Arabidopsis thaliana: one gene and its partner. The protein of the gene in region 2 binds, or shares a complex with, the protein of the main gene of each other region. Each region holds a gene or a part of one and is shown on either strand. Other genes may lie near its edges.

Region 1 (16,421 bases), on a different chromosome or scaffold from region 2:
AATCATTTGAAATAAACGAAGACAGTAGAGAAGATTGAAACTTTGGGAGATGATCGAATGACTACGTTTTCCTTTTATGAGACGATAAAGCCTTATCACAAGCCGTCGTGCCAAGCATTATAAACAAATGTACAATATACCAGATTGTGTGTTCATCGGAATTGTGTGGTATAGAGAGAGAATATACAATTATATATTTCCCTTAAGATCTTTCTAAATGAAAGATTACTAACCATGGAAGTGAGATTGTCTTTTTTCGTTTGTTCAATTTATATGGTTTCTCTAGTTTATGACTTGGTTATATAAAAAATATGATTCACTGTTAACCCTCAAACGTATCAAGTTCCCGAGGTTCTTCATCTTGTTACTTGTATACTGTATTATTGGATAAAACTCTTCCTCCTGTTTAATTTACACCAACATTTCTATAGTCGGTTTTTCTTTGTATTTTTTAAAAAGAAAATCCTAAATTAGAAAAATATCAGAAAACTTTATAAGTCTTTTTCTGTGTTGCAATTTCCATGACGTTATTACTAGTAAGAGATCATAATTTTCAAATGAAAACCCAACACAGTTATATATTTCCAGACATTTTTCTGAAACTTTCAGAATCATTATTGGTAGATGCATAGGTGTAAAGATTTTAGAGATTTCAGAGTTAGATATTTAAACTTTTTTTGTGGATTAACAAATATGCATGGATTGTTTTAACCAAATATCATGATTGGTTGTCACTAATTGTAATAGATTTATATCAAAATTTATTTTACCAAAATTCTATGTATAAGATATATTTTACCAAATTCTCTGTATAAGAGATATTGTATATTTATGCTTTTTTAGAAATGATTACAATATTTTGTTTTTCCTAGCTGTCCTAATTAACATATCATATTCTCCAGTTTTAGGTATGTTTTAATTTGTTTATAAGGATGATTCTTTCTACATGACCATTTTGTATAGAGTATCAATCAATTATTTCAATTCAGAATAATGTTTTTTGTCGAGAATAGGTGAGAGAAATTTTACTGGCATTTGCAATTTCCCTTCTAATATCCTATTTTGTATATTTTATCCATGGTTATGTCTCACGAAATTTGGGTTGTGACATGATTTGCATAATAATCTTTGCTACACATGAGATTTGCTAAAAGAAAAATCAAAGGTTGTTGTTGTTTTGATCGTTGGGTTTGGGTTTGTGTTTTTTTGTTGTTTCATAAATTTGTAAAATTTTTTGGATATGCATAGTACTAGATATTAACCCGCGGGCCTATATTTTTATTAAATAAAAAATAATTGAATATTTTTTATGATGATTTAATAAATTTATGCTATTGTTTGATTTAAATGTATAATTCACCGCGAGAAGAAATTTTATAACTCAAATTTTAAAGTTTTAAGTTGTATTTGTTTATTTTGTTAAATGTTTAATATTTTATAATTGTATTTTGATTGTTGTTTCTCGGATTTCACCCGTAGTACACCATCCCATATTAATATCGAATCAAACCCGTCAATTCTAAGATTTCACCCGTGGTAGTATTTAATTGTATAATTATATTTTAATTGTCATTCTAGGATTTCACTCCTAATTCTATCGCAAATTATTATCAACCCAAACCAGTCAATTCTAAAATATCACCCGTAGTACACCATCCCATATTGATATCAAATCAAGCCCGTCAATTCTAGGATTTCACCCGTGATAGTATTTAGTTGTATAATTATATTTTAATTGTCATTCTAGGATTTCACTCCTAATTCTATCGCAAATTATTATCAACCCAAACCAGTCAATTCTAAAATATCACCCGTAGTACACTATCCCATATTAATATCGATTCAAACTCGTCAATTCTAGGATTTCACTCGTGGTAGTATTTAATTGTATAATTATATTTTAATTGTCATTCTAGGATTTAACTCCTAGTTCTATCGTAAATTCTTATCAACCTAAACAGTCAATTCTAAAATTTCACCCGTAGTATAAAGTTTAAATATTTATAATGTTTAAATTTCTAATATAAGAATCAAAATTTTTTTAAAAAAAATTAAAGTTTTAAGTTTTTTTTTTAATATTGTTAATTTTGTTTAGTGTTTAAGATTATATAATTATATTATGATTGTTATTATATGTTTTTTCCATAGCATACTATCCCATGTTATTATCCACTCAAATCCGTCACACCATATAACCCCGTCCCGTGAAATTAAACACAAATTTGTCATTTTATTATAAATTTCAAATATTTATAAAATTAGAAACTTTCAAAATGATTAATATTGATCCAAATTTCATCATTGAATTTTGAGTGTTATATCTAAGATTTCTCTAGCAGTATATCGTCCCGTATTAATATCTTTTATATTGTTTAAATTTCTTGTAATATTTAATTTATAATTTTTTAAACTTTTTAACGTTTCAATTTTTTAAAATAAATAACCCTAGTAAACAAACCATTTTAATTTTGGACACCTCATAAATCAAGTTTCATGCTCATTCGTAATCGAAATCATTTTGGTCCTTTTTATAGTATGGCTCTTGACCATTGTCCAATTTTTTTAAGCGATGTGGAACATTCTAAAATCGTAATTATTATCCACCCAAACCCGTCCTACCATATAACCCAGTCCCGTAAAATTAAACATAATTTTGTCATTTTCTTATAAATTTCAATATTATAAAATTTGAAACTTAAAAAAATACAATATCGACCCAAAATTCATCATTGAATTTTGATTGTTATATTTAAGATTTTTCCTGTAATATATCGTCTCGTATTAATATATTTTTTATATATTTATAATATTTAAATTTCTTGTAAAATTCAATTTATAATTTTAAAAACTTATACTTTAAAACTTTATAAGTTTTAAAATTATAAATATTTCAAGCATTTTTTAAAGATAAACTTTATAAAAAGATTTTAAAATTATAATATTTAACTTTTGATAAAGTTATAATATTTATAATTTCTTGAAATATTTTAAAGTTTCAATTCTTTAAAATAAAAAATCCGAGTAAAATCGGATAACTATTTTAATTTTGGACGCCTGATAAATCAAGCTTTCTGCTCATTCGTAATCAGAATCATTTTGGTCCTTTTATAATATGGGTCTGAACCATTGTCCAATTTTTCTAAGCGATGTGGGACATTGTACATATATTATTTCTTCATAGGTTGAATAATATATGTCCGTTTTAAAAAATTTAAATTACATCATATTCAGAAAAATATAATATTTTATTAACTATATATATTTTATATAAATTCAAAATAAATAAAGTATAAGATCAAATAAAAATGAAAGAAGATTTATATATTTATGTTTAAATTAGGTAGAAATATTTTAGGAAATTAGTTAAGGTAAATAAAAAATATGGTTAGTTTAGAGATATTGTTTATATTAAATTTGGTAAGTAAATCATTAATTTTCGTTTTTAATTATTAGGTTTTAGGTAACTTTTCCAAAAATTAATGTTATCCAAGATCAGAACAGAATTAAACATGTTATCCAGGATCCGAACAGAGTTAAACCGGGTAAAACCCACCCATTTGAATTAATTGTTGAATTATGGTTCAAATCTTCAACATTATCTTCAAAAATCCCCTCCAAAAATGTATATATAGATTAAGAAAGTTGTGCTTCATGAGTAAAAACATAGAATTTCATATCTTAATATTAAGATATATTTGTTAGAATTAGAGAATTTATAATAACTAAACTATTTGAATAATTTTTTTTTTGAATAGAATTTAAAAGCTTACAACCCAATAACAATGTATTTTACTAAAACTTTAAAAGAATCCATGAATTATTGACAATAAAATCTGAAAATTAGAAAAATTCATCTACCAATAACCACTCTAAAACATTTGTCAAACATAAAACACATTGGGTCATTATTTACTGACCATAAAAACAATACAATAAAATTCTAAAAGTGCAATGTTTACTTAAAACTTTTAATTTGGGCTTTTACCAAATACTTCCAAGTTCCAAGAACCAATCACAAAGCATATTATTCACCGTCAAGCTCAATCAGAGAAAGATCAAAGCTTAAAACTTTTTTTCCGGAAAAGTTAAAGAGAGAAAAAAGAATCAATCTTTTTGCTTGACGATTGTTACTCTCAGTGGAAAGGTCTAGTCCCCATTCTCATTTTTTTTTGTTAAAAATCGTATCTTTGGCTTTATTTTTGGTTATCTCGTAGATTTTGCGTGAAAAGCTTTGAACTTTATGATGTTTTGATTGACCTCCATTTAGGAAAATGTAAATATCTTCAATTTCTGGGGTTTAAGTGAGATTTTACGAGTGTTCAAGTTAAGGGTTTGAATTTGGGTGAAAACACCTGGTAAGCCATTTCATTGTTTCTCAGGACGATGAATCTGTTGGCCTTCGTCGTTGGATTTGGAATCATGGGTATTGTTATGGTAGATGGGCTAGGTGTCAACTGGGGAACAATGGCTACACATAAGCTTCCACCAAAGAAAGTGGTTCAAATGCTTAAGGACAATAACATTAACAAAGTTAAGCTTTTTGATGCGGATGAGACCACTATGAGTGCACTTTCTGGCTCTGGTCTTGAAGTTATGGTTGCTATTCCTAATGATCAGCTTAAGGTTATGGGAAGTTATGACCGAGCTAAAGATTGGGTTCATAAGAATGTCACTCGTTATAACTTCAATGGTGGTGTCAATATCACGTTAGTGAGTTTCTCCCTCTGCTTGTTATATATTGGTTCTAATGTGTTCGGTTGTGAAATCAATTCTCTGAAAATGTTAATCTGGTAAGAACATTGTCAAAATGTTTATATGTCTAATCTCTTGTGGATGTGTTTTCAGGTTTGTAGCTGTTGGAAATGAGCCATTCCTCAAATCATACAATGGATCATTTATAAACCTCACATTCCCTGCACTTCAAAACATCCAAAACGCTTTGAATGAAGCTGGACTAGGAAGCTCCGTCAAAGCGACAGTCCCTTTAAACGCGGATGTCTACGATTCACCATCAAGCAACCCTGTGCCATCTGCAGGAAGATTCCGTCCTGATATCATCGGTCAAATGACTCAGATTGTTGACTTTCTTGGCAATAACAGTGCACCCATCACCATTAACATCTACCCTTTCTTAAGCCTCTATGGGAATGATGATTTTCCACTCAATTACGCCTTCTTTGATGGTGCTAAACCAGTAGATGACAATGGTATTGCTTACACAAACGTTTTCGATGCCAATTTCGACACTTTGGTATCGGCTTTGAAAGCTGTTGGTCATGGAGATATGCCAATCATCGTTGGAGAAGTCGGTTGGCCAACAGAGGGTGACAAACACGCAAATAGTGGTAAGACATCTAACATTTTCCAGTTCTTTAGATGCAATGAAATGTTTTGAAAACGTATTTTTCGCAGGCAGTGCTTACAGATTCTACAACGGTCTTTTACCAAGGCTTGGGGAAAACAGAGGCACTCCACTGAGACCAACCTACATTGAGGTATACTTGTTTGGATTACTTGATGAGGATGCGAAAAGTATAGCACCGGGAGAGTTTGAACGCCACTGGGGAATATTCAAATTCGACGGGCAACCAAAGTTTCCTATAGATCTATCAGGTCAAGGACAGAACAAGTTGTTGATTGGTGCCGAGAACGTGACGTATCAACCTAAGAAGTGGTGTATGTTTAATACAGAAGCCAAAGATTTGACAAAACTCGCTGCTAACATAGATTACGCCTGCACTTTTTCGGATTGCACTGCGCTTGGTTACGGGTCTTCTTGCAATACTCTTGATGCAAATGGGAACGCTTCATATGCGTTTAACATGTATTTTCAAGTAAAGAACCAGGATGAGGATGCTTGTATCTTCCAAGGTTTGGCCACCATTACCACAAAGAATATATCTCAGGGACAATGCAATTTCCCTATTCAGATTGTTGCTTCCACAGCTTCTTCATTTTCTTCTTCTTTGGTTTTGTTGATCGCTGGAGTTTGGTTTCTCTTATCAGGAGTGATGTTTGAGGTTTAGATTAGTGATGTTTTTGAGGACTTATTTTTGTGGATATGGAAACTATATGTTTTGTCCATGTATTAAATTGCATAATATGGTAAAATTTTACTTGGAAGAGTGAGAATCATTTAGTTATGGATCCAAATATTTGATCAATGGTGGTCATAAGAAAACAGGACTCGCAAAAAATTGAAACTCTAACGGCAGTTAATGTACGTGATCAGACTAAACCGGTCCAATGTCATTTTAATGGTTCAAATTTGATAGCAACTACGGAACCACAAACCAATTACACTTAACCAAACAACTAATTGGTCTTTAGTCAGGAGCAAGATCCTAAGAAAAACAAAGAAAAGGTTTCTTAACCTCTGCAATAATCTGACTGACACATTTCGGTACCTCTTTAGGGTATCGAGCCAAATCAAGAAACTGTAAGGAGTTTTACAATGAACTGCTACGAAATGTGCAGAGATGGCTTCCAAATTGAGAGATGACATCAACAATACCTCCATAACCTCCCACAGCAACTACCTGCAAATACAAAAGAATTGGATCAACGGTTAAACATTGAGTTTCTAGTCCAGAAGGGGTAACATATTTGCAGAATATTAGCAGTAACATAGGAAATGGGAGAAAAGCAAACACATATATAGGAAATGGGGAGAAAAGAAGGGATTGGAAACATACTCCTGCTGGATGCAAGGAAATGGAAAATACTGAACAAGGAGCACAGTGAATTTGAGAAAGCAAAGCTCCATTTAAGTCGAAACGTCTTAGAAGTGGTTCTGCTCCTACAGTCAAAATCTGATAGTGCGATACTTGTTAAAGACAACATTTTTAAAAAGATGTTTAAACTTTAGCACAGGAATTAAAACTAGGTGTTGACCTCTGTTTCTAGTTTAGAAAAGTCAGTAATTTTTTTAATAAACTTCGTTGAAGAGGGATGATTCAAAGAGATACTACATAAACCTATTAAGCCTTGATAAACAAATAACACCCACGGCCTCCCAAGGCTTTAAATTACACTGCTTAAATTTCAATCTAATCTTGTTCTGCTTACTTGCTTTTCATCAAACATCACATCCTGTACATGTGCAGGGATGGGTATTGTTTGTACGCATTCTGAGGCGGGAAGATTCCATAAAGCTAAATTTTTGCCCTGTCCACAAACCTGAAAGAGGAGAAAATCATACCAATAACAGTAAATACATGTTCAGTATTTAAACTTCTAAGTGATTCTTCAGGAGAAAGGAACTATATTCTTAGGTTACTGGAGGCAACAATCCCTTCAAACAAATAGCAGGTTGCGAAAATGTTAGATTATCTAGTTGCTTAGTTCTTACCAACCAGCTTTCACTCCCATCAAGGGCCATAGAACTAACGCGAAGGCGGGACTTTTTATCCTGGGAACCAATTACTTTAACACATTTTCCCGTTTTGCAATCTGGTTGACAAAACAGAAAGAAGCCCTTGAGCGAACAAAGCTTAGTCTAGACAACTAAAGTAAACCACATGAACCAAAACATAACATAGTGGAAAGTTCTGTAATCACCAAAATGAATCATCATAGAGTTGTAAGAAGCAGCCAACAAAACTGAGGAGCATTGGATCTTAAGTACCAACATGAAGACTCAAATGATTTCAAAAGTTCTATAACCACGTATGACCTAATACTAGAAATTACAGCATAAAGAAATATGGTCGGGAGCATGTTACCCCAGATTCTCGCAGTCCCATCCTCTGAACCCGTCAATATCTGGAGAAAGAGACTACAATCAGACAAAAATCCAAATGTGGAACTCAGATTTGGATAGGTGCATTTCTAATATTTATGGTAACATCATTACCTGACTTGCAGAACTACGAGAAACTACAGTATGCAAATAGTCTGAATGACCTTTAAAGGTCATTTTAATCTTACCACTCTCCTGAAATTGTTGGATACACATAAATGATTTTAGAAAGTTAAGATATCTGGATTCACATAGGACATACATCTATCATGGTCAAATACATACCACGTCCCAACAATATGCGCAAGAATCACCAGCTGCTGTAAATACACTTCCTGACTATCAAAACGAAAGAAGTGAGAGAGGGTGAAACAGTTATCCTGTGAGACTGTCTAACCAAGCAATGAAATTTAAATACAATTCCAACCTGAGGATCAACAGACATGGCATTGATCTCAGGCATCGGTGAAAGCGCACCCCAAGGACCTCTATAAGAAAAAGAATGGTGATTATACACACAACTATTACGAACACTGACATTTGAACCCACAATTATAGCATTTTCAGTAACAGAGTTATCAAGTAGAATAAAAAATGAACAAAACTCATACTCACTTGTGTTGTGGATTAATCAGTTCAAGCAATGGCTTCAGATGATTCTCTGTAGATCATAAGAAAAACAACCACTAAGCTCCAAAAAGCATCATTCATATCAAAAACCACAAAAATGGCACACACACACCTTTCAAATGAAGAGACACATCTGATTCAGCAAATTCTCTCCATTTCCATCCCCTAACTCTACCATCATCACCACAACTACACATAACCAGATCAAAATTTCAAACTCTCAATTACAATTCATCAAAGACTCATCAATCAACAAAGAGAGATTTAAGTCTCTACCTAAGTAGCAAAGCATCTTCGTCTTCACCATAGAACTTAACATCATAAGCAGGACCTTCGTGTGCCCTAACCACTCTCTCAGGTTCAGCCACCATAACATCTTGACCTTTCGAGTAGCCAAAACTCGCCGATTGAGACACAAGCGAGTTCAGTGAATGGAAAGCTAAAGTTCCATCGCTGGAGGCTACAACAAATGCGTCTGGATTAGAGATTCTCGCCGGAGGAGCCCAGGCGGTTCTGAAGACGGTGCGTGTCTCTATCTCTCGCTCCTTCAAAATTGATTCTCTATACTCATCTTCATTCCAGTTTGTAGCGTCTCCGTACATGGTCCTCTGCTTCTTTGCAATTCCCGGTGATACTTGCGAAACGCCAGCGATATTACCACCAGTGGTTTAGTGCAATTGACGACTGAGAGAAAGCAATCCCTAAACCGGCCGATTTAGTAATTCTGTTAATTATATTTTACTAGCTTGTTTTTTTTTTGTCGATCAAATTACTAGCTTGCTTAAATAGACGAATTGAAGAAATAAATTTAATTTTGTATCGATAATATTTGAATTCTAAATAGTAATATATACATATTTTGTAATATTTAATTTAGTAATTTTATTTAAAAACAAAATTTTAATTTTATACATTTCATTTTAATAGAAAAATAGGTAAAAAAACTCTCACATTTTTTAAAAACATGAAAAAAAATCTTACCTTTTTAAAAATAGTAAATTAACACCTAGGATATCTTATTCAAACTAACATATCCTATGTTATTCAATTATGAATTTTTAAAAGTATCATGAAATCTAATGCTATTGAATTACTGATTTTAAAATCTCCTTAAAAATCTTCTGTTATTGAAAACATTTTAAAGATTGGATTTTAGTGACTTTAAGAGACTTAAGTGGATTTTCTTAGTTAAAAATATATAATTTTAAATCTCATGGTTTTAGGTGGAATTTGAGAGGATTTTACCATAAATCATAACAACCTCCTTAAATTCATCCAAATTCTTTAAAAAATCAAAATTATATAAAAACTCAAATAACTTAAAATATAAGATCGAATACACCTCCTTAGATTCTAGTGTTATTCAATTTTTGATGATTTTAATGCAAGTGTTATTCATTTTTCTGTCAAAACCAACATTTCATTCAAATCACCAAACCGAAAGTATCAAAGGATAAACCTCCAATGTAATTGAAAAACTCAATTAATTTTGAATGCAGTATGAGTAGAGAATTTCACTTCCTCCGCGGAGATCTGTCTATTCGTTTTAGAGATTCCATAGAATTCAAGATTCAGATGCTCTATTTCGTGTTTAATGTTAATAGCACAATATGATGAAGACAAATCAATTCAAAATTTTTTGTTCCACTTCTTTTGGTCTTCCGTCTCTTCAAATTTTGACCCATATATCTCCTCATCTATATCTACCAAGAAAAAATCATAAAGAAGACTCTGTGCGTTTTTGTTACAATTAAAATCTCCACCTTTCTTTTTGGCACTTCCAGCTTTCATAAATCTCACATCTAGGGCTACATAAATCTCATTCGCAAATACTGATTCGGAAAAAAAATTGAATTCATCCAAAACAAATGAAGCCGTCCTAGACCATCTGTAAGCATCAACTTCTTAGTACTATTCACTAGAGCATATTTGTCCTCACCCAAACATAAGTTTGCCAACTTCTCGGAGATAAAAACTGACATGCATCGTTTGCAACTCATCTCGAAAAGAATCTGGTAGATTAATCAACATGAGAGATTTTTTCGGTAGTGGTATTATGTAACCGCCATCATCAAAACCCAAGCTGGTAAGTACGTCTTCATCAGAAAATTCAGGGTCCATTAATTGTTCCTTTGTTGGTTTAGGTTTCTTATTCTTTGCTGGTGCGATCTTTGGACGATAAACATTTATTCTAATACGTTTTTTACCTCGACTTTTCTTCGTCATACCAGTATTCCAAACTGTGAAGTACATAATGGCTGTTAAAAGCTAGAAAAATTGCAGTATAGGTAATGACTAATGGACCATGTAGTTTATGGTCGGCTGATTGATGAATACACATGTAAATTTTGGTATGATTGAATAAACGTTGACGTTTCTAGAAACGTATTTAGGGGGACCGCTTATGTAGTGCTTGCGTGAGACACAAACACATATGAACAAGGGAATGTGGAAGGAGAATCAAATCAAATCAAATGCCAAAACAATATTAAAAACGTATTTCGAAGATGTTCATAATTCGTTGTCCTTGCATCTTTTGTCTTTATTTAATTAACTCCAAAACCTTTAGTAATATTCGCTTTTACTTCCATTTTAATATCAATTCCTCTAGCTTACGTTTCGGTTTTACATTCGCCCTTACAAAGATTACTTTTTATTCCTTTGGTTTTTGATTGGAGGATCAATGAATGTTCTAGCTAGAGATCTTAAGTTTGGGAATCTTTCACATAGATCTAGACCTATGTTATGTATACTTAATTGTTCAAGTGGTCGTTTACGCATGCAATGACCAAACAAATAGTTTATTTCGTTTTAAGTGGGATCTCTCACTCTCAAAATTTTGTTAAGAGTCCAATTTTATTGGTTTGTACGTATATTATAGACATGTGTTATGTATATATAATTGAAAAGAGAGAATCTTGTTGCTCAAATTGACAGGAAATAAGAGTTTAATCCGGCGGAATCTTTCTATAAATTAAACGTAGCTAGTGGTCAGTGGATGATGATGATGAAATCTATGCATGCATCATCATATATAGACCCTAGCAATCCTTATATATAGACCCTAAAATCAGACAAACTGTTTCATATCATATCATCATATCATATAGTAATTTTAGGGACCGAGGCTAATATAACATCAAAATCATATGCATGCAAGAAGATGAAGCAAGTCAACTAAAGGAGGTAAGGGAATAGCAATAACGAAGGCGACAGAAGAGAGTGAGCACACATGGCTCTTTTTCTAGCATGCTCATGCTCGAAAGCTCTGCGTGCTTACTCTCTTCTTGTCTCCTGCTCTCTCCCTCTCTACGTCTATTTATCTATCTATCTATGGACTATGTGTATATAAATTAAATATATTTTATATCCACATATATATATATATATGCATCATGCATGCATGGCAGCAAACGTCTCTGTGTATGGTTAGATAGATATGACCATATCTTGTCTATCCACCTTTTGTTTTCACTAATGTTTTACCTAACGACACACAAATATCATTTTCAATCTTTACAGTAAAATAGCGTAAGTCGCCATATCCGTTGTAAATTGCCAAATAGCCGTTGTAAAGCTCAGAGTCGTACGTTTTTTCTATCAAATTACAAACACTAATCACATCAATATATATAACATAATAAAGGCTACAAAATGATCTAATTTTTGTACAAATGATGAGCTTTGAGTTACAAAGAGGAGCAAGGCACTTTAACAAAGAAAAAAATTAAGGAGCAAGACATAAGGAAGGTTTATCATCATGAGAATGAGAAGATTTCACGCATGATCGCAAAGGAACAAAGCGTGCGTATCAAGTTGCGGATAAGGGTTTGATGCCGGTCATCGGATGACCTTTAGTATTTTAAAGAGCTACATAGAAGAATTGAGAAATAGTTACTGATTTTTCGTCCTAGCAAATCTTGTTGTGGACAGAAATATATTCTTAAGTAAAAAAGTACTTTTCTTTCTCCCTTTATCTATGTTTTATCTATTTTTGTTCTTTTACCATTTCCATTATATTTATGTATCTATATTTTTTTTGTCCCCCACATTTATGCATATATCTAAAATCTACCAATAACAGTACTGTTTGAATTACTTGGTACCTTTTCATGCATGATCCATCGTCTAAGTAGCAAAAATAACAATGAACAACTGTTATCAATTAAAGCTGTTTTCTTTTTATGAACAAAAAAAATAAAAATCTAGCTCTATTATATATTTGGCTAGAAATAGAAATATATGTATGAATTGATCAATAAATCTTTAAGAAATCAATAATGACTAATATATTAGATGATTCATGAACTACTTGTCCAGAATCAGAAACTAAGTGATGGTGGTTATTTCTTTTCTTTTTTCCCTTTTTTCGTGTGTGGTATATGTGTTTTTCGTTTGATGTTATGATATTTTATGTAGTGTGTACATAATTTTGGACCTAGAATTCACATGACGTCTACATGATGCTCTAAACTTTCTATATGTAGGCTTCGCTCCAATTAAATATAAATTGTATACTAATAAACACCCAAAAACAGCTTGGGCTAAAATAAAAAAATATGATATCGTTTTCTTGACATCAAATTAAAAGTTTTGTTTGATTTGTTTCCGTTTACATTTGCATATTTAATGTTTTAAGAAATACAAAAAAATTCCGAAAGTATTATGTATATATAGCTTAGATCTACATATATGGAACAATTAACCAAAGATGGACCTCTAGCCAATATTGATCGTCTTCTATCATTTACACGTAGTGAGAGTATATATGTATTAATGTATGCTGTATTAGAATGTGTTAATAATTCTATGTAGTTAAAAAAAAAAAAGAAGTTATTTCAGTAATGTCATTGGTAACGTCTCTTTCTTCTATACGAAAGATCGATCTAAGTCTGCTGTAAATTACTGTTCGACTATATAGATTGGACTAATCATATTTATATTTGTGTGTGTATAAGAACATTGGAGAGTCGACAATCGTTAAGATCTTTAATTAGTTTAATTATGTCGTTCTCGTAAACGATCAGTGCATTATTAGTGTTTTTTTTTTATATATAATTCTTAATTATTCGGGTATATCCTCATTTGTGCTGAGCAAAAAATTAATGAAAAATCATTTAGACTGTTTTGGTCAACTTTTGGTTACATATTAGAAAACAATTGCAAACATCATTACTCAGCCAAATCAAACCGGTTTGATCGGAAATTTGGATCTGTACGTTACCGTATCAGATGATCAAATCCTAAACAACTATTATGTGCAAGAAATCGTGGAAATTCAAGACAATGTATTAAAAAAAAATTATAAAGAATTTTAATATATAGGTTGGTCTGCGACAAAAAATACTGAATAATTTCATATTTTAACCGGAACAAAATGTGACTTATCTCACAAGGCCACAACAATCTCATGCCTTTTACTAAAAGATTCAGATTGTTGCGACCACATACCACTTCAAGATTAATCTAGTACCGTAACTAAGTAATGTCATTTGTTTTTTGTTATGTCATTGTTTGCACAGAAGAAAAAACTAAATTATGTCATCTTCTGATAGAAAATGACTACTTTATTTATTCTGAAAGCTTACTGAGCTAAGTTATTTTGCTAGAACCTGTTCTAAAAAAGTCGAGGCATTTCGAATTGTTTGTTGACACGGACAAAGTCAGGGAAAAATTCAAATAAATTCAAAATTACTTCATACATAATTATTTTGCAACAAATACATAGGTTATAAGTTAGTAGGTTACATTATATTGATCACATTGCCCACATTGGTACAACTGGTCATAGTATATGATACATATTATACAACTGACAGACATAAAAATCTCTATCTAAACCGTTCAAATATCATGTAGATAGAACTAGAAAACTTCAGATAATAAAGCTGCACACTAATTATAATTAACAAATTGGCCGTCCAAAAAAATTCGAATTTGAAAAGTATTAAATGGAATATATATTCCTTTGAAGGCGATTTCCATCCCATCGATTTCTTCCTAATGTTGGCCAAACATATTTTACTATTAATTATATATCCAGGACTGCAAGATCCATATCGGTGATTACCAACAAAATTCAAAACAGATCAAATTATATCTTTTGTTTGTTCCTAAAGTCAATAGACTGATTTTATATAATCCAATCCTATGAGTCTACTTCGTATTCTCTTATATTTTTTAAGCTATGTATTTATAAACTAATACGAAAAATTTTATATTGTACTGCACTATATCACTTAAGTAAACAACATTGTTTAGAAATAATTCTTTTGAGATTTAATAATTAATAGTGGTCCATAAAAAAATAGCATTTATAAACTAATTTTAGAACGGACTATCAAAATATTATTACGCCTACACTACAATCACTTAGTTTTTGATGTTGTTATTTTGTTTATACTTTAGACTTAGAGTGTTAATTAAAGCATTTCTACAATCAAACTCATATATTTTGTTTGTTCAAGTTTATATTAAAACATATCTTAGGACTTTAATTATTGATTAAACAAACCAAAGCAACAAATAGACCGAAAGACGACCAATCATTGTTCGGCTACTAATCAAATTTTTTTTTTTTTACATTTTTAAACACTTGGTCCTAAACGACTCTTATATATATATATATAAAGAGATCAATACAATATAGTCGTGATCAGAGTAATATCCATCTCTGGAATAGCATTTCCCCACCCAAATTCAGAAACAAAACTACAAAAGTGTATCAGCCCACAAGGGTTCCTCAGTCACAACAACAAAAAGTTATTCTTTGGTTACTTGTGGTATACGTAAGTATAATTGATTAGATGGTGGTGATGCTGACGCAAGAAATGAGTGGCGGTGGTGGTCCAAAGGCGGAAGAGGGTCAGCTGTTTGTGGCGGTGGCCGTGAAGGGTTTGATCGGAGACAAATTAGGCGGTGCAGGAAGTCGTCGTGCCGTACGGTGGGCTGTCGATAATCTTTTACCGAAGGCTGATAAATTTGTGATGATCCACGTCATCCCTACCATTACTTCTATTCCTACTCCGAGTAAGTCTCTCTCAATCATTCACATTTTTCTTGTTATTGTTATTAAAAACCTAATGTAAATGATATAAAGATAAAATGAAGTAAAAACCAAAAGACAGAAAGGAAATAATAATTACTGAGTTTTTTTTTTTTTTTTTTTCACACCAAATATATAGAACATGAAGGAAGAAAATGTGAAAAGTAAGTTTCACAAATCTTACAAATTATGTTCGTATGATAATCAAATGATTAAGTAATTACTTTTTCGTAGTTTGATTTTAATGAGGTGAAATTGTTCCGTTTTTTGTATGTTAAAAAGTAAATTAGCTAATTCGACTTATCAAAATTTTTGTTTGACATCTTTTTAAATACTTAATTTATCATTGTAATTTAAAGATATTTTGATATTAATGTTTACGAGAATGTGGGTTGTTACAGCCGGAGATAGATTGCCGGTGGAAGAAGTGGAGGAGAGTGTGGTGGAAATGTATGTAAGAGACGTGAAAAAAGAATATGAAACAGTCTTTGTTCCCTTTTTGAAAATGTGCAAGAGTACTAGGAGTACCAAGGTTGGTTTTGTTTTATTTCGGTTTATAAATCTAGATAAATTAAGAGACAAACTTTAAACTCCCTGAAATATTGTAACCTTCAGTGTAAGGTAGAGACTCTATTGCTAGAGTACGACGATCCTGCAAAAGCACTTGTCAGATTGATATCCAAATCAGGAGTTAACAGTTTGGTTATGGGATCATTTACTTCAAACATATTCACATGGTAAATTTACATAGTTCGGTTTTGGTTTACGTTCTTCTTAATTAACTCGGTTATATACACTAACAGCGATATTTTCGGTCTAGGAGAACAAAAGGTACAGGAGTACCACTGACCGTTTTAAGATACGCACCAGAAACATGTGAAGTATACATTGTGTGTAAAGACAGAATCACTACAAAATCTATGGATCCATTAATCAACCGAGGTAAAAATTAGGATTTTGTGTTTCGTTTTTTTTTTAAAGAAAATTATTGTTTAATACTACATC
Region 2 (15,262 bases):
TATGTTAATTTATCAAATAGATTTTGACATATATCAAAAACTTTTAATCTATTTAGTATATATATTAACCAATAAAAAATGAGTGTTGAAGTTTATAAAAAAAAATCTAAGTTATTAAACATTAATTTAATTGGATAAAGTTTTTATTTACGGTTGCATTGTAATTTTATTCGTAAGTGAAAAAAAAACACACAAGAAAAAACAAAGAGCTTAAATGAATGAATTTAAGATTACTTATGATCTTAGTATATTTTCTTAATATGTTCTACTTTATATAGAAAATATTTTAAATAATTTTGGTTTCCAAAAACAAATTTGGACTAATCATAATTGCAATAAAATTAATTTGCATGATGAGAACAAACTCGGTAGCGAGTTGAACTAAATTTCATATGTCAAAAGTGGCCTAGGGTCGAGCATAAGCTGGCGTGCCGGCTTGCCACCATCAATAAAAATGTGAGGAAAATTATTGATATATACATATTTGTATTACCATTAGCATTCATACACATATCAAATGCATTCATAATCAAAATTCTCATATTAACCAAAACAATCTCTCTCGGCAACTCAAATGGATTCAGATTCGGAGTCCAAGCTCATATCACTCCTTACTGAATTATTGTCTCTCAACATGCATTATGCCAATCTATTATGGTAAATTCTACTCATGTATGCAATGTGAGTTCATTCTACACGAAACATATGCAAAACTTTCTCGCAAACTATATCACCCGATACATCCACATATGCTCACTTTGTTGGGAGGATATGATGGTGTTGTGGACTTTCTTGTGGATAATTGTTCAGTTTGTTCTTGGTTGTGCAAAGTTGGTTTCTTCTATGAGTGTGGTAAAGAAGGATGTGATTTTCAGCTACATGTGCAGTGCGCCACAATTTCCGAGCCATTAGTCAATGGAGGTCATATGCATCCTTTATTCCTAACATCCAAACCAGGAGAGCAACGGAGAATTTGTTCGATTTGCAAAGATTTTAATTATTGTCGCACAAATGAAACATTCAATTGCCTTGAGTGTGACTTTTCTTTGTGTTTTGAATGTGTTAGTTTACCTCAAAAGGTGAGGTACAAGCATGATAAGCATATGCTCAATCTTTCTTATGGAGAGGAAACAAGTACCATGACATATTGGTGTGAAGTTTGTGAGAGAAAATTAGATCCAAAAGAGCGGTTTTATACTTGTGATGAGAACTGTTGTGTATCCCTACACATTATATGTCTGCTTGGATGGGACTTATACATGAAGCCCGCTTCATCGTGGATCTTCTACGGTAAAAAGGTAGATGTTCTGCCCAACAATCAACATATGTCTCGACCTATATGCTCCTTTTGCAAGAATCGATGTCCATACAAAACATTTTTAATACGGCTTGGATTTAGATTTTGTTCCACACGTTGTCTTAGTAGAAACTGATGGACTTTGCTCTTTGTTGTAAGAAATATAATTGAACAATTGTATTTTGTTGTACTGCTTTAGACAACACATTTTGTCTATACAAATGCATAGCCTATGATCATAAATCAATATTGATCCACCTGGATTCAACAAGCCAGCACAAACGCAGATTGCATCTACCTTTTCCCTACTGTGGTCTTCTTTTAAGCTTCTTACAATCATCTTGTCTGACGTAATACGCTGTTACCGCCTTCAGCTTCCCATTTAAATAGTTCTTTTCTACCTGAAAACATTTGAGTTCGCCTATTAGAACAAGTGTTACTAAGAGACAAGAAAATTTTGCAAGGTTTGTTTCCATTGTGATAAGCAAATAACCAAATTTTTTCAACAATGTAACAGAAAACAAATCACCGGTTTTATTTGATGGAAAGTCATCATGAATAAGCATCAGAATCTATCCAATTTCTTGGAATTCCTTTCTAGATTCCAAAGAATATGCTCATATATATAATCGACCATATAGGAAAGTGATAAGAAAAAAACACTTGCCTCTAGTGACCATGGAGGAGACGTTGATAAGGCAAGCTCTGCTAGTTGGTTAATGTCAACATTTCTTGGAAGAAACATAATGATTGTTGACGCAATGTTCATGGCCGCCTTAAATAGAGCATCTCTGCATCATTCAAGAACAGTAAGGATATATTTCTTATCATGGAAAGAGAGTAAGAGTTATATGAGCATCTCTGCAACACGAGAGACATACCCGTCACGAGGTCTCAACATTGTCTTCATATCATACGTGCTCGCTTTAAGATAATCAGGGCCTCCCCAAGGAGGCGATAGGAATACAGTGCCTGCCTGCACAATTGAATTCTTTTCAATGGCTACTCTATGACCAGAAAATTTGAGAAGAGTTGAATTAAAAAACCTTCAAGTTATGTGCGAGGTCAAAGAAGTCTCCCTTCACAAAGTCGATTTTATCAGCAACACCATATATGGCAGCATTATGCTTTGCTAAATCAAGTTTCTTTGGATCCAAATCAATTGCAATCACATAGTGACTCCTAAAAAAGCAAAACACAGCAGAAAATAAGTCAGGGAAATTGCCCAAAATGTGCAAAACGCTACTTCCATTAGTTAAACTAGATCCTGCTACCGTGTGAATTACTACTAAGAACTACAAAACATCAGTACAAGAAGTGTATGTCCACTCACCTTGATGCGAACTGGATAGCATTTCCACCAACTCCTGTAAAACAGTCAATGACTATGCCTTCATTACAGCGTGTGGCATGATGTTTAGCTATAAGTTCAGGAGTGACAGAAAACCATCCTTCCTCATCCATCTTGATGCCTTCATCAAATCTGGAGAAGAGGAGGTATCTTTGGCACCAATACTTGCCAAGGATTGGAGAATATTCTTCAGGAACACCTTTCATTTCAGTCCCTGTTTACAGAAGAATCTAAAAGGTTTTAACGACGGAACAACTGCAGCTGTGAAAATTCAAAACTACATATATGCAATAAGTGTTGCAAACCTGTGTACGAATTGAGTAATTTCTTTTTGGCTCGAGATCTTCTAGACTCTTTCTTAGCCTTTCTAACGGAACTGACAACATATGCACCGGTTCCCTCTTCACCAAGACTAGTAATATCCAAAGATTGATTTCCAATGGAAGTTTCTTGGTATGTATCAATCAAACTGGAAACAAGAAAAATGTTAGAAGACTGTTGTTAAAGAGGCTCAACAACACAGAAAATCAAAGGTTAAACTTTTTAAGCATACCGGTAGTTTCAAAATTATGGCATTTAATATTGTAACATAGCTAAATGTTCGAGGTTATACGGCTTTATATCAATAGCTTCAAACAAGACCATTACAGACACTCTAAACGTTTAAAGTTGTGCCAAAACAACTCTGCTTGTAGTCATATCAAGTATTGGCACACAAGGTTGCTAATCAGTGCTTAGTTAACACATATTAATGAGATCAACATAGTTCTGATCAATGACTATTTATATTGCAGAAGATAAGGTTGTTAATTCTTTTGTTAAAAGTTGGTTTAACTTAGTTTGGGTCCAACAACCTAACGCCATTATAATACAACCAGAAGGAAGAAAAACCACATATTGTTGAATTTTAATACCTGTTAACTTCCTCTGTGGCTTCTGCTTCAAGTTGACTTTGACAAACTCCACCAAGATCGTCAGCTTTGTCAAAGGGAACATCATCGCCAAGCACAGTTCCAGACAAGTCATCATGATGCTTCTTTGTTGTCGTTTAATACCAAAAAGAAAAGAACCAATAACACAGTAAATAAACAAAATCAACTAAAATTTGACAAGAAAGATAGAAAAGGCAGAGATCAATCTCAATCACCTCTATGACCAATTCACTCAAGTTGTGACTTTCATCGCTATAAGCTAGATGCTCCATCCCAAGTGGCGGCTCCCATTTTGACTCTTGTGTCTTAAAATTGTAAAAATAACTTCGTCCATAGAACGAATCCCAGTAGACCTTCCATACACTAGAGTCATGAGAATCTATTGTCTCTGATGCCAACACTGAGTCTCCATCTCCATTTCCCAAAAAACAGCTCCCCACAACAACTTCATGATTTTCTTCTTCCACTTCAATTACTTGTACACAATCTTCCTCAAAACACGGACTCTCAACCTCCTCATTCAAAGCAGACACCAAATTCAAAGTGTCTTCTACTTTGAGAATAACATTAACCTCTTCGTCTAATCGATCCTTGAATCCTTTCTTTTGATAGCCTCTAGTTCTGTTCTTCCACTACACAAGTTGTTGAATTCTCAGAGAATGTAATAAACTAACTAAAACCCATGAATGTTGATAAGAAAAGGTACCTGCTTGTTTGTTCGAAAGGAAACCGGAAGACCAAGATCATTCATCTCTTTCATCAATCCATTGTCTATAACAAAATTCAAATTCAACAACTTTCAAGTTCTTTAGCAGAAAAAAGTTAAAAAATCAAAACTTTGAAGATATAACCTAAAAAGTAAAGACGTACTGGCAATTCCATAAGTATCATCAACACTCTTGTTCTGCATTCAACAAAAAGAACCAAAATTGGAATCGAAATCACAGAAACATAATACAGAGTTATAAAGAACACACTTACACCACTGTGTTGATGGAAGAGAGGAGTATCTGTATCGACCCTGAGGAATTGAAACAGAGGAGAATCAGAAGTCAACAAAAGAGCTTAATCTTATTTTTTAAAAGTCAAAAAGGATTATTTATTACCATAGATGGATTTGAGTAAGCTTGAAGAGAGAACCCAGAGCTTCAATAGCTTCACCTTCTGCTTCTTCTACTTCGCCTCTGACCTTTCCCATTCTTTCAGGAGTATGAATCAAAACCCCCCATAGACCCCTCTTCTTATATGGGAATTTGGTATTTGAACCGACGCCGTTTTTAGTAGTTTTTGTCGTTTGGTATATAAACCGAGCCAAACCGAAATTTGTCTAGTTTGATTTGGATTGGTTAATTAGATATCGGCAAGAAGAAGCATAGATTTTGATAAACGGTCCGGTTCGGAACTACCAAACCGAAATTATCGAAATTTTATTTTAAAGTTGACCGAAATGTACCTAAACATACCAAATTTAACAGAAACTGAACCGAATTTGGTTTCCATTCCAAAATCAGCACTATAAAACTAAAATCAATCAAAATTAATTGGTTTGATTATGTTCGGTTTGGAACTATCAAACTAAAATTAACGAAAATTTATTTTAAAAACCATCAAAAATGTACCAAATTAAACCGAAATTGTTAAATTAATAACCGACTCGATTACAAATCGGCACTATTTATACCATAAACTGAACCAAATTTCGGTCTGATGAGGTGAAGTTGATTTCAAACCGAACATTGAAATATCAAAATTTCGAACCAAACCGGACCGGCTTAGTTCTAAGAAAACGGTAAAAATATCAAAAAAAAGCCTGAACTTTCAAATTTGGGATGAAAAAAGCATGAACTTTGTAAATGTCGTATTAATCATGAAGTTTTAGTTAATTTCTCAAAAAAAATAGCTAAGTTTCGTTGACCGAGCCGTTAAAGGCTTGCCGTTAAATTTTCGTTAACAGAGTTATCACTCCGTTAGAAATTTAAAACGACGTCGTTTTAAATTTTAAAATTAAACAGAAAAAATGAACCTTGCCAAGATTGGAACCGTTACCATGAGAAACTCATTACGAGATTATAAACCATTGACCCACAATTACATTTTGTCAAAGTGACAAACACTAATGTATATATATACTCAACTATTCGTCTTCTCATTCATCTCCTCTATCCCTAGAATCGGAGTTCTCTCCGTAAACAGGATTCCATCGGCGTTTTGGTTTCGTTCCATTAGACAGATATCGGAGTGAGCGATTTTTGTTTTATTGATCTTTGTTGTGGTTTGAGCATTAACCAGCTCTTAGGTATCAAAACTGTAATTTTGTTCATCTTCTCAAACCTTTTTAATAATTTGGTTTCAAAATTGAGGGAATTGAGAAAAAATACATATAGATCCATTAGATCACAATCTAAAGCTCATGTTCGACGAAGATAACACAGATCTGAATCGCAAATCTCACAATCAACATAAAAATTGAAATGCGATTGGGTTTTGTGAACTTGAGAAAAATACAAAGCTATGGCACGCAACAATAGAGTTTTGTTAGTTTCTGTTAATTATGTAATATTAAATATAAACTTTTGTTATTTGATACGAAGATGTTATTTTGTCTAAATGGTTTGGATGTTTGTAAAAGTATTCTCATGTCTCATGTTTGAGCTCAGGTGGTAGTCATTTTTTCTGTTTAATTTTAAATTTTAAAACGACGTCGTTTTGGGTTTCTAACGAAATGATAACTCTGTTATTATTCTGTTAACGGAAATTTAACGGCATGTCTTTAACGGGCCAGTCAACGAAAGTTAGCTTTTTTTCTGAGAAGTCAATCAAAACTTCATAATTAATATGACATTTTCAAAGTTCATGCCTTTTCTATCCAAATTTGAAAGCTCAGGCTTTTTTTTTTGTTGACATTTTTCCCCTTTTAAAACCCTCTCTCCGAGCTCGGCGAGATCAGAGGAAGTAAATTATGCAATCGGAGATGGCGATAGACACGGTGGCCACGGCGGAGAAATCACCACTAGAGCTACTTCAACAAACCAAAGCCTCCGTCGAAGCAATCATAGCAAAGATGCTCTCCATCAAGCAACAAGGAACCCCTAAATCCGAGAATCGAGAACTCCTCACTCAGATGTTTCTCAACTTCATCAATCTTCGTCAAGCGAATCGCTCGATTCTTATAGAAGAAGAGAAAGTGAGAACAGAAACGGAAATAGCAAAATCTCCGGTGGATTTCACGACGTTGGAGCTTCACAATCTCATGTATGAGAAGAGTCATTACCTCAAAGCTAATAAAGCTAGTAGAGATTTCAAATCTAGGTATCCAAACATCGATCTCATATCCGAACAAGACTTCTTCAGTGATGCTCCCGAAGCAATCAAATCTCAAACGTTATCAAATGATAGTTCTCATGATTTGATGCTTAAAAGACTCAATTTTGAGCTTCATCAGGTAAATTTCATTTCAAAGTTCATGTCTTTAAGGTCTTGTAGTAGCTTGATTCAATGTGATTCAATGTTAAGCTTTATACATCTCTGTCTCGAATCGTTAGACCAAGTTCATGTGTTAGATATTGTTGGAGTTTTTATTCAAAAGTGATTGAATGTTTAAGTTTGTTATACACAGAGGAAAGAGCTATGCAAGCTTAGAGTGAGGTTGGAGCAACAGAAGAAGAGTTTACTTGAAAGTAATGCGGAGAGGAACAAGTTTCTGTCAAGTCTTCCAGTGCATCTCAAATCTCTAAAGAAAGCATCTTTGCCAGTACAGAGCCAGTTGAGTTTGCAGAATCAGAAGAAGCTGAAGTATCATAATCTAGCTGAGCTTCTTCCTCCGCCGCTTTATGTTATATATTCGCAGTTCATGGCACTGAAGGAAGCTTTCGAAGAGAATATCGATGTTGAGGTATCTGGGAGTCTTAAGGATGCTCAAACTTATGCGCGGCAGCAAGCAGAACAGAACTCAGGTTAGCAATTCTCACACCTTTAGTTAAAATAAGAATTGAAAATGGAATAGTTATGTGCTCGTTAAAATGACATGTATGTTCAATAATACAGAGAGTCTAAGATTAGAGGTTGGTGTTGATGAAGAAAGGCAAAGGAAACGACTCAAGAAAGTGGGTTCTGATGAGGGAGGAGTATATCAAGTTCATCCTCTTAAAGTTGTCCTTCATGTTTATGATGACGAGATTACAGATCCGAAATCTCATGAACTTGTCATGCTCAAGTTTGAGTACTTGTTGAAGTTGAATGTTGTATGTGTTGGCATTGAAGAGTCTGAGGATGGACTTGAGAAAAATATACTATGTAACTTATTTCCAGACGATTCTGGACTTGAGCCTCCTCATCAGGTACATGTGGTTTTCCTTTTTGATATTCATTCACATATGTTTGCTTGAAAACAGTCATACTCACTTCCTTTACGGTTATACAGTCAGCCAAGCTCATTCTTGGCAACGATCATGTGTTTGATAAAAGCAGAACTTCGAGGCCATATAAGTGGGCACAACATTTGGCGGGGATTGAGACTTTACCTGAAATGTCACCATTTTTTACTGACAAGGATATTCAATATAGTGATACAGCTAAAGGCTATGCTTCTGCTTCTGATCACCGCAATGTGCAAACCGTTCTGCAAAGAATACGGTCCCAGAAAAAGACTAAGCTAACGCTTGTGTGAGTCACACCACTCAGTATGTTTTTTCCCATCTTTTGACAGTAGTAGAAGTTTTTCATATTTGTAAGTCAGTTAGTTCTTGGTATCTGAAACAAACATAATGATGAGGGAGGACTATATCAAATTCATCATCTCAAAGAGTTGTCCTTCATGTTTATGATGAAACAAACATAATGAGAAGAGTGACTTTGACATCTGCGTCTAGGTTAAGCTTTAGCAATATCTAAGCAAAGAGATTCTGATGATCCTGTATATATGTATAGAGAGAGAGGTTACAATTTGATAAAAGATGAGAACACAGTTCAACTAAACATTATAATTAGAATGATTTATCTATAGAAACCAAGTATGAGCATGATCTATATTTGACAGTATCTTCCACAGCTTTTATGTTGGCTTCCTTGAAGATTCATTATCTCCATCTCCTGTTGTATAAACCCACCAAAAAACGATGGAGTTAATAAGCTGTAAGCGTTGAAGTTGCGTACAATAAGATTGGTGAGAGCAGTTTTGGTGTCAAACAAAGTGCACTTTAGAGGGTAAGAGCGGATTTCTTGGTGTCAAACAAAGCTTAAATCATAGATCTATGAACTCATTACGAGCAGATCTTTACCCAAAGACATTCTAAATGGGGAGGATTCAATTCTCAGGTTGCAGGTAATTTCCACCAGTAGAAACTACGACAGGTTTAAGTCGCATAAGCCGTTTAAATAAAGTTTTGTATGGTAGAAAAATAGTGTAAGATGGAATAAGAGCTACCTGATTCTTCTGTAATTCCTACATATTGCCTGCAAAACACGAGAAGAGATACACTCTAAAACTAACAGAGATGAATGTAACATATGAGCAGATGTCTTTGTGGTCGGTCATTACCGGCTTCCTTAGTAACTTTTCCTCTCTTCTTTCTATCTTTGCAACTTCAGCTTCAAGCTCCACCATATAGCCTACAAAGCAAAACAAGAGTACTAAAAACATTACATGAACTTCTTTAACCACTGAGCCACCTCAGGTACATTCCAATGGTCGGCCATGAACATATCACATATAAATTAAATTCAGTTCACTAGGAAACTTACTACACTTTGAGCGACTAAACCAGGTCGACAAAAAAATTTCGGAGCTGGTTGAAACCCAAATAAAATGCATTAACCTAACAAGATATAAATGACAGTGCGAGAGAACCCCGAGTTTGATTCACGGAATGCCAACTTGGCCAGTTTACAAACGAAAATTGTTGGATACAAATAACATAGGCCCTGCTCAATGAAAGCAGATGGTATTTTGATAAATAACAGATGTGGCTCTGATCAGATTCCGGCAACTATAATACAATAACTAATCCTTATCTCCTGAACGCAAGCTAAAGAATTGGATCAAATACTTTTCACCGCTCTAGTCTCTCCTGAGATATCCATTTATCATCCTGGACAAGTACGTTTAAGGTACTGATGCTTTCAGAGGAAATAAAAACACAACTACCTTTGACAAGGAAATGGGAGGAACATATTCAAGGGTGCATTAAACGCATCTTCCACTTCCTCAGGAAAAGGTGTTTTTTGTCAGTAAGAATTCCTGTGACAGAAATTACACTAGAGAGATGCTGCATTAGAGAACCAAGGGCAGATAAGAAAGTAACACTCTCCAGAAAAGGATAGTTATGCTTATGCATCTCTCTGTCACTTGATAAAAGGAATAGATAGCTTGACATACAACAGAAAACCTTTGGCATAGAGCTTACAACAAGAGAAATGCAAGATGCATGATTTTACGGCATGAAGTTAACTCCTATCGAATTTCATTTATAGATATTGCATTAGATTCAGCAGGAAATCTGACTTACAAAAGCAACGAAGAATCACACTAAACTCATACAGTAGATTCAAACAGATCTCAATATTATGCTTGTAGTACTGCAGGTATAATGCTTCAATTGTATACAAAACAACAGGGCATTTGGTCTAGTGGTATGATTCTCGCTTTGGGTGCGAGAGGTCCCGAGTTCGATTCTCGGAATGCCCCACTGCATTTTTGAGTACATTGGTCTAAATTTCATCAGGATTGAATAATAGTAACATACAATCCACCTTTGCACTAAATGCTTAAATTCAGTCAACTAACAGAATTAGATCTACAGCGTTTCATTTCTACTTAACAAAATAACATTTAATAACAGATTTACGCAAATGTATGGTTCCAGCTTCATCAAGTATAAACCCCTAAACAAAAAGATTCACGACAGCATCATCTAGTGGTATAATTCCTGCTTTGGCTTCGAGAGGTTCCAATATCTATAATTGGAATGCCACATCTACTCTTCCAAACTATACGTTCTAATTTCTACCTGAAATTTTGCTTAGAGATCAATTTTCCTTAGTCCTTCAAAAACTGAGGAACATATATTTCACTTTTAGTCAGCAAGAGAAATCATTAACAAAAACTCCCCCAAACTTTCATTATTAAGTGCCTTCTGCATACTAGAAAAACATACCGAGGTTTTAAGTCCAATCAATAAATCTTCATAACCAGTAAACTTCATCTAGGGAGGACCGACACATATTGGAAGCAGCAGGATTCACAAAGAGTGAGCTGCAGAAAGAAAAGGAAATGGATTGTGACTACATCCAACCAAGAAGCAACAATTCCTCTTCAACAAATGAGAGAGTGTAAATGGAATGCATCAACAAAACAAGATATAAAACAGGGCATTTGGTCTAGTGGTTTGATTTTCGCTTAAGGTGCGAGAGGTCCCGAGTTCAATTCTCAGAATGCCCCGTTGACTTCTTCAGAAACTTTTGTTTTAAAATCTTGCTGAAAATTGTTATAACTATCAAATATCAATCTACCCTTTCGTGTTTGTTATTTCATTGGTCAGATCAACAAACACACAGAAAGTCTTTAACAACACCCTATTTCACTAAGACTTTCAATATCAAGTGTTCCAAGGCAAACCAAAGAATAAATTAACTGTCACGTACCTTTACTCATGTCTGACAACGTCTCTGAAATTAATCAAGGAACTTCAGCAATTGAACATTAAAGACCCCTTGCATTTTAGCAAGAGTAGATTAGAGACGCCAGTAGTTGCAGATAAACATTTAAACAAACAAAAGACCAGATCCTTATCATTTTAACTGAAAGGTATCATGACTTCAGTTCTTGACGATTTTTGAGACTAACACCAAAATTTTGCTTTCACATCCATTGACTTTGATCTCTTCAACCGCAGATTCAATCTGAAAACATGAGATAGTACTTAAACTAGCTTTGAACCGCTAAATTCGCCAAAACCGAACCACATCAATAGGGAAAGTATGACACGTAAATTTCAATGACAATTTTTTTTGCAGGAATTTGAGAATCAAGAACAGGCCGAGCAGCAAATTGAAACCTTTTTAAACAATCTTCAAAAGCACATGTATTTATTCTGGTCAGAATTCTTGCATGTAAATTTGTAATTGGTGCCTGATTTGTGTTACATCACATTCAGCATTTCGACTATGTGTATCTACCTAAAGCTTCACCAAAATTATTTGCGTATTGCCTAAGGTAGTCAATAATCAAGAACTTGGTATAGTAGCAGCATGATCAAGTCTAACAATAAGATAAAAAGAGATCATGATGAATTAAAAATGTAGGATGCAAAGACTATCCACATCTAATGATTTTTCCGCAGATCAATATATTTCTAGTCTATTTCCATACAGCGTACATTGCAAACCATTGTACTGAACTGAAAGAGATCACATAGAATATAGATCTTGGAATATCCTATCAAAACTAAATTATTAAGTAAAAGTCAACTTAGAGCAAGAGACCACAGTATGACCAAATATGGTGATCTTCAATGTTTAAACTAAATTGCTTAGCAACAGGGCATTTGGTCTAGTGGTATGATTCTCGCTTTGGGTGCGAGAGGTCCCGAGTTCGATTCTCGGAATGCCCCGTTGACTTTTTTGGATGTCTGATCTAAATACTAGCTGAGAACTATCGTGGCACAAACATGTTCTTTATTGCATTTACCTTCAATTTTCAGCAAGGTAACATGAGACAACTATTTCCCATTACGTCTGTTTGGTACTAGAGTTTAACAAATAGAATGAGAATCTCACTGTACCTTTCCTTTGACGTCCAGTGACTCGCATTATGCAGAAAAAATCAGTTTCCCGATAACGGAATGAACAAAGAACGCCACTAGCTGAACGCTACCAGTTTCTTCAAGAGACACTTGCAGGAAATGAAAAAAAAAAAAAAAAAACAGCCTTAGACTGGTATCCAAGTTTTAACAAGAGTTGTGCATTGAATGATTTATATCAACAACAGGGCATTTGGTCTAGTGGTATGATTCTCGCTTTGGGTGCGAGAGGTCCCGAGTTCGATTCTCGGAATGCCCCATTGACTCTTTTTTTCTAGGAAATAGCAGCTCAGAACAGTTGCATATATTAATGTGCCAGGTCTATAGTTTCTGATTTGTCACAGACTACATTCTGATAAAAGTAACAATTGTTGACAGGCCGTCAAATACCTTTGCTCAATTTTGACAACGTCTCTGTCATTAGTCATTGAGCTTCAGCAATTGAACAATAATGACGTCCCTTGCATTTAGCAGGAGTAGAATAGAGACGCCACAAGTTTCTCGTTAACATTTTAACAAACAAAGGGGACCAGATCCTTACCATTTCCACAGAAAGGTAGCAAGAGTTGGATATGTAGTCTGACGATTATGTTTCTGACTTCAGCTCTTGGAACTCTTGTAATGATTTTTGACGTTAAGTGCTGAACCCAAACAAACTAAATGGTGTAACACCAAAGTTTGGTCATCACATCCGTTGACTTTGATCTGTTCAACCAGTAAGCACCCCTTCTGCAGATTAAACCAGAAAACATGAGGTAGTACTTAAAACAGCTTTGTTTCATTAGATTCTCTAAAGCTCACCCATATCAACTGGGAAAGTATCACACATTCACACGCAAATTTCAATGTAAAGAAAAACATTTACAGAAATTTGAGAGTCAAGAACAAGCCGAGCAGCAAACTGAAACCTTTTAAATGATATACAAAAGCACATGCATTAACTCTGGATGCAACAGCTACCTAGCCTAATTCTCAAATTCCGGTAAATTATGGGATACAAGATTTGCATTTTCTGCCTAAATTATGAGACTTGAACAACATGCATTTCCATTGTATTGTTTAGAAAGAAGAATTACAAAACATGAACTGTTCTTTCCACAAAGGGTAAGGAAACAAAGAGAATGATTTAACTGAGAAACACCAATAACCAGGCATTTGGTCTAGTGGTATGATTTCAGCTTTGGGTGTGAGTTTGATTCTCAGAATGCCCCATTGACGTATTTTCAAAACCATATGTTGTAAGTTCCACCTCGGAATTCTTGACTAACTATATATATATGTATTTGGTAACTGATTTGTCAAAGATCACATTCAGCTTTCAACCAAGTGTACTTACTTAAAGCTTTACCAATAATATTGGTGTATTGTCTAGGGCACTAGTTAATAACCAAGACCTGGAAATAGTGGTGTGATCAAGTCAAGACAAACAACATCATAATGATTGATATAAAAAACAAATTTTTAAAAATGTAAGACTAGAGGACTATTCTCTTCTAATGACTTTTCAGGGAAAGAGGTTGAAACAATTGGATCAATATATTTCTGGGCCAATTTCCATCAAACTAGATATTTACATTCTAAAAATCACATCACTGGACTGAGTAGAAAGAGATTCATAGAATAGATCTAGAAACATCTTCTTCATACTAAAATATTTAAGTAAAAGTCAACTAAGAGCAGGAGACCACAATGTGACCAAATATGGTGATCTTCAATGCTTAAACTATATTGCAAGAGGGCATTTGGTCTAGTGGTATGATTCTCGCTTTGGGTGCGAGAGGTCCCGAGTTCGATTCTCGGAATGCCCCATTGACTTTTTTAGATGTCTGATTCAAATACTAGCTAAGAGCTATCATGGCGAAATAAGTTCTTTAGTGCATTTTCTCACAATTTTCAGCAAGGTTAAATTAGAAAACAATTTCCCATTACGCCTGTTCGGTACTGAAGTTTAACAAATAGAATGAGAATCGCATTGTACCTTGGCTTTGACTTCCACTGACTCGCATTATGCAGCAAGAAAACAGTTTTCTCGGTAACGGAATGAGCAGAGAACGTCACTTGCTGAATGCTACCTAGTTTTCAAGAGACACCTGCAAGAAGTGAAAAAAAAACACAGCCTTAAACTGGTATCCAAGTATCAACAACAGTTGTGCATTGAATGATTTATATCAACAACAGGGCATTTGGTCTAGTGGTATGATTCTCGCTTTGGGTGCGAGAGGTCCCGAGTTCGATTCTCGGAATGCCCCATTGACTTTTTTTGGGAGATATATGGTCTAAATGGTAGCTCAGAAGTCAGAACAAGTTCATATAATGATGTGCCAAGTCTTTGGTTCCTAATTTTTCATAAACTACATTCAAATAGGAGTATGAATGCAAATCCAGCTTTGTTCTTAGATTTTCCTAACAATGACAGTTTCAAGCATCACAAGTAAAATAGATTGAACTTGTTGCCACTTTCACTGAAACTAATGGATACAAAAAAAAAAAAGACCTTGAACAACATGCATTTCCACTCTATTGTTCCGGAAGAAGAATTACAAGCTAAGAACTATTCTTACCACAAAGGGTAAGGAAAAAAAAGAGAATGCTTTAACTGAAAAACACTAATAATCAGGCATTTGGTCTACTGGTATGATTTTTGCTTTCGGTCGAGTTTGATTCTCAGAATGCCCATTGACATTTTTCAGAACCATTTGTTGTAAGTGACATCTCAGAATCCTTGCATATATATGTATCTTTCACAGATCACATTCATCTAGTAACTGTGACTATATACACAAAACTTCGCCAATATAACTTGGGTATTGTCTATGGTACTAGCTAATAACAAGAATTTGGTATAGTGGTATGATCATATCAAACTTTAAGACAAAGAAGAGCATAA

What was found.
Region 1: THO5 (region 2) and DWA1 share a complex: the UniProt entries of both Arabidopsis thaliana proteins name them as parts of the THO complex.

Annotation. Positions count from the first base shown.
Region 1 is NC_003071.7:8,407,769-8,424,189, reverse strand, and holds DWA1 (DWD (DDB1-binding WD40 protein) hypersensitive to ABA 1), read right to left. Parts: upstream 9,145-16,421; 5' UTR 8,974-9,144; coding exon 8,648-8,973; intron 8,561-8,647; coding exon 8,484-8,560; intron 8,403-8,483; coding exon 8,357-8,402; intron 8,230-8,356; coding exon 8,169-8,229; intron 8,081-8,168; coding exon 8,027-8,080; intron 7,937-8,026; coding exon 7,856-7,936; intron 7,765-7,855; coding exon 7,725-7,764; intron 7,453-7,724; coding exon 7,352-7,452; intron 7,180-7,351; coding exon 7,069-7,179; intron 6,813-7,068; coding exon 6,696-6,812; intron 6,540-6,695; coding exon 6,450-6,539; 3' UTR 6,196-6,449; downstream 1-6,195. Other genes in the region: AT2G19440 (O-Glycosyl hydrolases family 17 protein), read left to right, coding at 4,384-4,706, 4,846-5,345, 5,413-6,026; AT2G19420 (uncharacterized protein), read right to left, coding at 10,307-10,611, 11,858-11,968, 12,471-12,489; AT2G19410 (U-box domain-containing protein kinase family protein), read left to right, coding at 15,178-15,400, 15,818-15,948, 16,032-16,153, 16,237-16,358. UniProt on the Arabidopsis thaliana protein: Acts as a component of the THO subcomplex of the TREX complex which is thought to couple mRNA transcription, processing and nuclear export.
Region 2 is NC_003070.9:17,146,417-17,161,678, forward strand, and holds THO5 (THO complex, subunit 5), read left to right. Parts: upstream 1-6,479; 5' UTR 6,480-6,539; coding exon 6,540-7,022; intron 7,023-7,196; coding exon 7,197-7,533; intron 7,534-7,624; coding exon 7,625-7,917; intron 7,918-8,000; coding exon 8,001-8,246; 3' UTR 8,247-8,427; downstream 8,428-15,262. Other genes in the region: AT1G45243 (Cysteine/Histidine-rich C1 domain family protein), read left to right, coding at 642-1,433; AT1G45231 (S-adenosyl-L-methionine-dependent methyltransferases superfamily protein), read right to left, coding at 1,603-1,698, 1,965-2,088, 2,179-2,273, 2,344-2,479, 2,631-2,862, 2,954-3,117, 3,563-3,684, 3,796-4,212 and 4 more; AT1G45229 (uncharacterized protein), read right to left, coding at 9,021-9,187, 12,358-12,385. UniProt on the Arabidopsis thaliana protein: Acts as a component of the THO subcomplex of the TREX complex which is thought to couple mRNA transcription, processing and nuclear export.